Oryzias latipes: one gene and its partner. The protein of the gene in region 1 interacts with the protein of each later gene in a pairwise test. Links are inferred from orthologs where the notes say so. Each region holds a gene or a part of one and is shown on either strand. Other genes may lie near its edges.

Region 1 (3,823 bases):
CCTGGATGCTGTGCACCCGATTGTTATTTATTCAATCAACCACAGCATACTAAAGCACTGCACTGAGCTCAGCTCAGTGCAAAGCATTGTCTGTGCCACTCTGCCTTCATTACCGAGCGTTAACTTTGGACCTCATCTTCTGTTTCCTGACCCTGTATATGACTGTTTGTTTGCCGCCTGCCCCGACTCTCGCCTGGATCCTGACTACTCGTCTCTCCTCCTATAATTTCATGCCTGTTATTGACCCCTACGTGCCCGACCCTGATTTAGATTTATGAACTTTTAGCTGAGCTAATAAACCTGCTGCAGTTGGAACCAGCCATCTTCCTGTTCTTGTGACGGATAGGGACTTAAAACCATCCTCCCAGGGACAAAAATATCTCCCCCAGCTCAAATCTATTGCAATTCCAAATTCATTGATTGTAGAGATTACCCACAGCATGTGGACAGGGTGTCGCTCGACCCAAGGATCCAACTCACAGAGGGCTTAACCCCCATCCCCACATCAGCTGCTGGGGCCCTCAAACAAGGGATGTGGGCAGGCAAAAGATCATAGGTGACTGACCTCCTTGTACTGTGCTACAGGATTTTTTGGCAAGTTGCAGTTTTTAATGACACCTGTTGTTTGTAAGCAGGGGTGTCCAACTTTTCCTGCATGTCAAATGTGCAATTAAAAACAGAGGCGGGGTGGAGATTCATGCCACAACACCAGGGGAAAGTGCCAAAGCCAAGTATCTCAATGCCCAAAGTATGTGCTGTGCTCTAAAGCATCTGTCCAGGAGGGCTCCATCCACTCCACAGACAGACCCAAAGTCATAACTCCCATGGCACCCACCTCCCTAAACTCATGGCTTGAATCTGTAGCCATTCTCAAGGACTTGGAGAGGGGTACAGGACAACATAGCACCTGTCAACTCTAACCTATACGCAGAAACCAATTTAAGTGTCAACAGAGAAGACTTAACTGCATAACTGCAGGAAGTTCAGATAGAGTTAAACCAAAAACCTTAAATATCTGAAGATCAGTTAGGTGGTAATCTGCAGCATCCTTTTAACTTCTAGATAAAATCTACAGGTATTAGAACAAGACCTCCTGCCCTGATCCAGTCTATGGAACATTTCACTAAACTGACTAGCTGTTCCAATGAAATCCTCAGATATTCTGGGAGGACATTACCTTCCACACTGACAGAAAAACACACACACACAGAAACACACAAGTGACACTTTTGTTCAGGTGACTCACAGAGCTGAGAGGCCCCAGTGGGATCCTGCACGGTCCCCCGCCGTGGTAAAGACAGACAGGCCAATGAGGGAAACTGTGGGCGTGATGGTGAGTGGACCAATGTACTTCAGCAGCAGACCGGGTAACCCGCACAGACCTATGATAACCTCTACCAGACTGGACATGATGATGGCACCTTGAATCTGCAGGAAACATCAAACAACGATTCATTGGTTCATGTGAACTGGATCAGAACCCAGCAGACTTGGACTGGGCGTATGACTTAATTCCAGGTCAAAGTCTGTAGCCTTCTTAGGCAGAACAAAAAGTTTAAGAACAAAGATCCAGCCCAGAGACTTTGCAGCTCCAGTGCCCCCTTACACCAACGTGATGAATAAAGAAAGAAGTTGGTTAGCCTGAATGATAGAATAGGAAATTGTGGATTCACATTTTATGTTGAGTCAAACTTTTCCTTTTTCTTTTCCTTTCAGGGGTCGCCACAGTGAATCGCTTCCTCCATCTAACCCTGTCTTCTGCATCCTCTACTCTAACACCAGCTACCTTCAGGTCTTCCTTCACTGCATCCATAAACCTCCTCTTTGGTCTTCCTCTAGATCTCTTGCCTGGCAGCTCTAGACTCAGGATCCTTCTACAATAGGTTCATTGTCTCTCCTCTGGACATGTCTGAACCTTCTCAGTGTATGACTCCCCTCCAAAACCTCTAACATTTGCTGTCCCTCTGATGTCCTTATTCCAGATCCTATCCACCCTGGTCACTCCCAAAGAGAACTTCAGCATCTCCATCTCTGCTCCCTCCTGCTTCCTATCTTTTCCTCTGTGCCACTCTGAACATGGCTGGGCTCACCACAGTTTTGTATACCTTTCCTTTCATTGGTATCGTCTGTCACTAGCGATGATGCGCACAGAGCAATTTTTTATTTTTTTAGTTTTAGCAACACCAACCTTTATCAGTTTAAGTGAGCTTGAAAATACAGAAGTCCAGGAGCAGAAACAGCAACACCAAAATTTTCTTTGAAGTAAAATGATGAATGTTATGGTTGATCTTTATGCTTCATCTACCTCTGACCACAGTATAAATGCCAAAGATGCCCTCATACCTCTCTCATGCGAGGCTGCCAGATGTGTGAGGTGTTGAGGGGAACACTCCAATTTCCGTAAATCTCCTCTGTGGATAAAATCAAACTTTAGAACCTTGAGGCAGTGAGTTCATGAAGAACAGGGTTTGAAACAGACAGACTCTGACCTTCGCTGGGACACTTCCAACGGTCAAGGCCAAGTATTGCCTGGGCAGGGATCAGGAAAGCAAACGCACTGGCCTGGAACAGAGGAAGTCTAACCACAAGAACACACTTGTTATCTCCTACTCTCACCACACTAAGAGAGAAGATCTTTACCTGGCCCATGTGTACCTGCTCAGACTCACCTGACTCCCACAGTTGTCTGGATCAGAGTAGTGATGCCAACAGTGGTAAAAATGGTTCCAATCAGCTGACTCACAGTGTTTTGGTCTTGACCCACACACATGGCTTCAGCAAGTAGAAACGGCACAGCAACAGTCCCACTAAAACATGTCAGGTAATGCTGTGAAAAAAAGGAGTAAGGCGCAGAATTGTAACCTACATTCCAGCTCTACTGTCTAAAAACCACTGTCTTTACATAAAAATGGGAAAATCACATTTGCATCTACTCTACCTCTTCTAACATCTTTGTCTTTTATCACAACAATTAATTACTTGATATCTTAACTGGGTTTGCTGCATCTGTGTTTTGTAATTTTTGTAATGAAGTGTTCAATTATTTTAAATTCATGTAATCAATCAATAAAATCAACTACACTGAATCTAAAGAGTTTGATTACTAGCTTTAAAGGGAGTGGGAAGAAGCAAATTCACATAATCCCACCCCTGTTATGTTTGAGTTTTTTTCCATTACACAGTTGCTATCATTTGGTTCTTAACATTGACTTGTTGGTTTTTCGTAATGATTCAAGTTGTATAATGCATTTGCCACTGTGGCATAGTATTGTTGAACCAGAAACAGGAAGTGTGGACAGTTTATTATAATGACACACATAACAATAAAGAGAAAAGGAACAAAGTATATAAATATGTTGCAGTTTTAAAAATCCATCCATCCATCCATCCATCCATCCACCCACCCACCCACCCATCCATCCATCCGTCCGTCCGTCCGTCCATCTATTCAGTCATTCATCCATCCATCCATCCATCCAGTCATCCATCCATCCATCCATCCATCCATCCATCCATCCAGTCATTCATCCATCCATCCATCCATGCCACGGGACAGCAAATATGCCCAGACTTTCCTCCCTCAACTCACACTTAAAATGATCAGTCAACTTTTTAAATGATTGAAATACCATTTTAAGTTGTTTTATTAAGAAATGATGACGATGACAAAACAAATAAAGGTGACCAATTGAAGATCAGACGTCTGTCCTCAAAGTGTCTGCTACTGAATGGTTTGATAACTGATGATCGTGTTGATCTATTCTGTCTCACAGAAACCTGACTGCAGCAGGAAGATGGTGTTAGAATGAATGAAGCATCTCCT
Region 2 (3,823 bases), on another chromosome or scaffold:
AGACCCTTCACCCTCACCCATGTATATGAGTGTCCAGGTGATGGTCAGAGCGAACTGGCAGCCACACCTCTGTCAGTGATGGTATGGTGATGGTAGCTACTGATGTAGCCACAGCTGCCCTGGGGCAGACTGCTACTGCATCAGTAGCTACCATCACCAAGTATGAATGAATAATGGACACATTGGAAACGCTTTGAGCGTCTGGAAAAGTGCAGATAAATCTTATCCATAATTATTATATATAAAGAAAATTCAGCATAAAATTGCACTAAAAAGGACATCGATTAATGTGCTGGTCCTCAGGAGGATAAGAAAGTTTTCATCATCTGCACAAGTCAGACTAACCTGTTTTTAGAAGATTGTGTGAAATTGTAGACATCAAAGATTGTCTCTATTCTTGTTATCCAATTACCCAAAGATCCTTGCATAATTCCTCTTGAAAAAAGGGTAAAAGTTCTTAAATACCAACTTTTCAAACATTTTAACCATGGTGTTAGGGTTTTTTCCTGCGTGAGGATCTGCTCTAAAAGGAAACCTTATCATCTTCTTTTAAGCAAAAATTCACAAGTTTAAGTGATGAAGAAGCCTCAACACTAAAATGATTCAAACTACAGACTGGTCATTAGCATGAACAGGAGTGTTTGTGAGTGAAAAATGCCACTTGTGAATGTATATTTGTGAGCAAACTCAAACTTCTTGAGTTTCAAAGCAGAGTTCTGAGAGACAGCAGAGTAATAAATCAATACGAGCAGATGAACTCGGGTTTCTATCACAAAACGAGCTCCTGATGAATGATACCAGCTGTAAAGACGACCCATCTGGTTTGTTTACTAGTGAGCTGTTTTTCATTGACACCACTGTGTAACAGATTACGGTAAACAACTGTCATTTAAAGACAAATAGAGCGTGTTACAGTAGATTTGACTTTTGACTTTAATTTGTTGACACTCTGTCATAAAGAGAACTTTTGAACAGTGGGAACGCAAATGCCCTGAGTGTAAATAAATGGCTGTTTATTCTAACCTTTGCACATATAAGTACTGCAGTATTTATATCCTCACCCATCTTCTTGGGAAGCAAGTAAACATCCTGTTTGTATCGTCCCTCGGGAGCGTTGTACAGCTCTATCAGAGCCAGAGCCTGTGAACAGAGCACGTGATAAAAGATGAATTCAGTCGTGGGAATCCACAACATCCAGACTTTTGGAAAGGAGCTAATCTGCTCTGATCACTACATGACTGCAGCAAATAAAAAAAATGTAAAATAACATCGTATTCCTTCATCTTGTGTAGGGAAGGGGAATAAATACAGTTTTTATTTTACCTGAGTGGTGGCTGTAATGGACAAAACAAAAGTAGGAACAGTGGAGCAGCTGAGGTTCAGGAGGCGGCCCTATGAAAGCAAGAAGGACATGATGATGTTTAGTCATTATGGGATGCTCTGACTCTTCATTTTGAATGGAGACCCAATAGGAACATCATCAGAGACACCATGAGGCTGTCGAGCTTCAGTCACAACAGCCCCGGGTGGAAAATAGACAAACCTGGACAAGACATGCAGACGACCTTCATAAAATCTCAAGGTCATAGAGCGCTCAGTGAACTCGTAGAGTGAAAATGTTTTTTTATTTAGTCTACGGAGATGCTGTGAAGTCATAGTGAAAACTTTAACACATCACAACAGTGCAGGAGGTGAGAGAAAGGAGGATGGTAGCCAAGCACCCGTCGTGCTATCTGCACCTGTTATCTCTGTCAGATTGTGGAAATATGTGATACAGTATTAACCCCCATGTTCGCTGGGTGAGGGACCAGAGACACCCCTGAATTCCAGAACCACCCCCCAACTCTGCGACGGACGAATGTCCTTTACCAATTCTTACTGATCTAAAACCCTTTAGAAAAATTTGTGATGCTTTGTAAAAGATCTATTAAAGAACATTGGAATATTGCTCAACATGAAGAGTTTTATTTTTTAAGTCAGACCAATAGACTGTACTGTAGTGTACTCTTTAACACACAATAGGAGTGTCTCTCTGTGCCTAAAAACCAGGAGATCGTGCTTCCTCCTTTGTTTAGAAGGTGCTCCCTTCATTCATATTAAAAACCTTCTCCGGATGATAATTATTCTCCACGATTATCTTCCTCAGCGTTTCAGGATGTTTTTTTTCCGTCTGTTTCTGAGTCAGCTGATGCCATTTCTCCATGCAGGGGCACAAACTTTGGTTTTAGCCATTCAGGAACCTTATCTTAAGGAACTTATCTTTTCCTAAACGTCACCTAATAATAATAATAAATGTTATTTGTATATCGCTTTAAATAGCACACAGACACTTTACAAAATGAGTAAAAAACATTAAATAATAATAATAATTAAGGGTAAGTATGGATGAAGTAGGTGAGACAGGCGTGTTTTTTTCATTTTTTAAACCCGCTAAAATCTGGCGGACTGCGCAGGGAGGCCATTAGCGCTTTTCAAGTGCCCGCCTTGGCGTGCAGCCTGACTGTTAGAAATGAGGGAATTAGACCATCAGAGTGTAGTTTGAGACGTGAGAGCAGCATTTGCCAATAAGGGGCCGGTATGCGCACCTTACAAGGTGTGGCGTAAGGTCACCGTACGACAGCATCGCCTCTACATCCTAAGTACGTTTCACCTAAATTATCCTTACAAATACTTCACAACACACTTACCACACGTCTGACAATGGTACGCTCCATCTTCATGACATTCCTTGAGGTGGCCGTTCAAGCCTCAAGGGAACTGCAAGAAACGCCTAAACTCCCCTTAAGATGCGGCCGCTCCTCTCTACGCCCCGAACAACCCAAAAACCCGCAGCCTCCGTGACGAAGGCTTTATTTAAACATGCTTCAGGAACTGTTGGCGTGTTTGAGAATAGTACTTCTGTTCACTCGCTAGATCTACCTTTTTATAGAGGAAATGTTTCAAAATGTTTTCTTTTTTTTTGTGTCTCTGTAGAATAATACACCAGAAGCCCCTCACCTCGGCCAGGAGAATCACTCTTTTGCCGTCAGGCCAGATGACATGATCCACCTGGGAGCGGACTCTCTCCCAGGTCAGCTCGGGTGTCCGAAGACTTGCCTGAAAGAGTCCAGGACGGCTGTCACTCACTAAACCACAGACAGTGACTTTGGCCATGACAATCTCAAATCTAGGCGTGCTGGTTTACCACGTCGATCTCCGTGTTGGAGTGTCCCATGTTGCAGACGATAGACCCGTTCTTCATGCGGTCCAGCTGATCCCTGGTTACCACGTTTTTGTTCCCTGCAGAAACACGCCATCACGTCAGTCATGCTAATCGCCACCGGAGAGCAGACAGAGACCCACGACAGATTAATGGGTTCACTACACTAATTCCATGTCAGTGTAATCCATCACTCATGTCGATTTCAGTGAAGTTCCAATACCAGTGCACGTTATGATGATGTCGACCTGCCGAATGACCTCGTTCAGTTTGACCACCCTGAATCCATCCATGCTGTGGAACACAAAACAAGGCAGAGGTCAGCCAACAGTCAGGCCTGTCTGACATGAAAATGGATTCAGCTAAAGGTTTTGGCATCAGTAATCCAGCAGACTGTTAGATATTCTGTCTGCTCACGCCACGCTGGCAGAAGTGGTTCTTTCTCCTACCAAGCCTGCAGGGCGCAGATGGGATCGATTTCTGTCACGTAGACTATGGCTCCCAAAGCTTTCAGAGCAGCACAGCAGCCTTTTCCAACCTGCAACACCACAAAAAAAGAGACACCCGTTGCTGCCAAATCTCCATGTAAGTCCGTCACTCAGTGGTGCTCACACTTTTTTGGCA

What was found.
Region 2: the proteins of slc23a1 (region 1) and S-adenosylhomocysteine hydrolase-like protein 1 interact in binary tests that used the Homo sapiens proteins (3 or more experiments, as listed by UniProt). The two-hybrid records come from large-scale screens. The link is inferred for Oryzias latipes from reciprocal best matches to the Homo sapiens genes SLC23A1 and AHCYL1.

Annotation. Positions count from the first base shown.
Region 1 is NC_019872.2:23,035,360-23,039,182, forward strand, and holds part of slc23a1 (solute carrier family 23 member 1), read right to left. Parts: intron 2,828-3,823; coding exon 2,670-2,827; intron 2,579-2,669; coding exon 2,490-2,578; intron 2,412-2,489; coding exon 2,344-2,411; intron 1,429-2,343; coding exon 1,247-1,428; intron 1-1,246.
Region 2 is NC_019863.2:2,340,373-2,344,195, reverse strand, and holds part of S-adenosylhomocysteine hydrolase-like protein 1, read right to left. Parts: intron 3,738-3,823; coding exon 3,649-3,737; intron 3,494-3,648; coding exon 3,423-3,493; intron 3,280-3,422; coding exon 3,185-3,279; intron 3,097-3,184; coding exon 2,998-3,096; intron 1,393-2,997; coding exon 1,324-1,392; intron 1,141-1,323; coding exon 1,062-1,140; intron 1-1,061. UniProt on the Homo sapiens protein: Multifaceted cellular regulator which coordinates several essential cellular functions including regulation of epithelial HCO3(-) and fluid secretion, mRNA processing and DNA replication.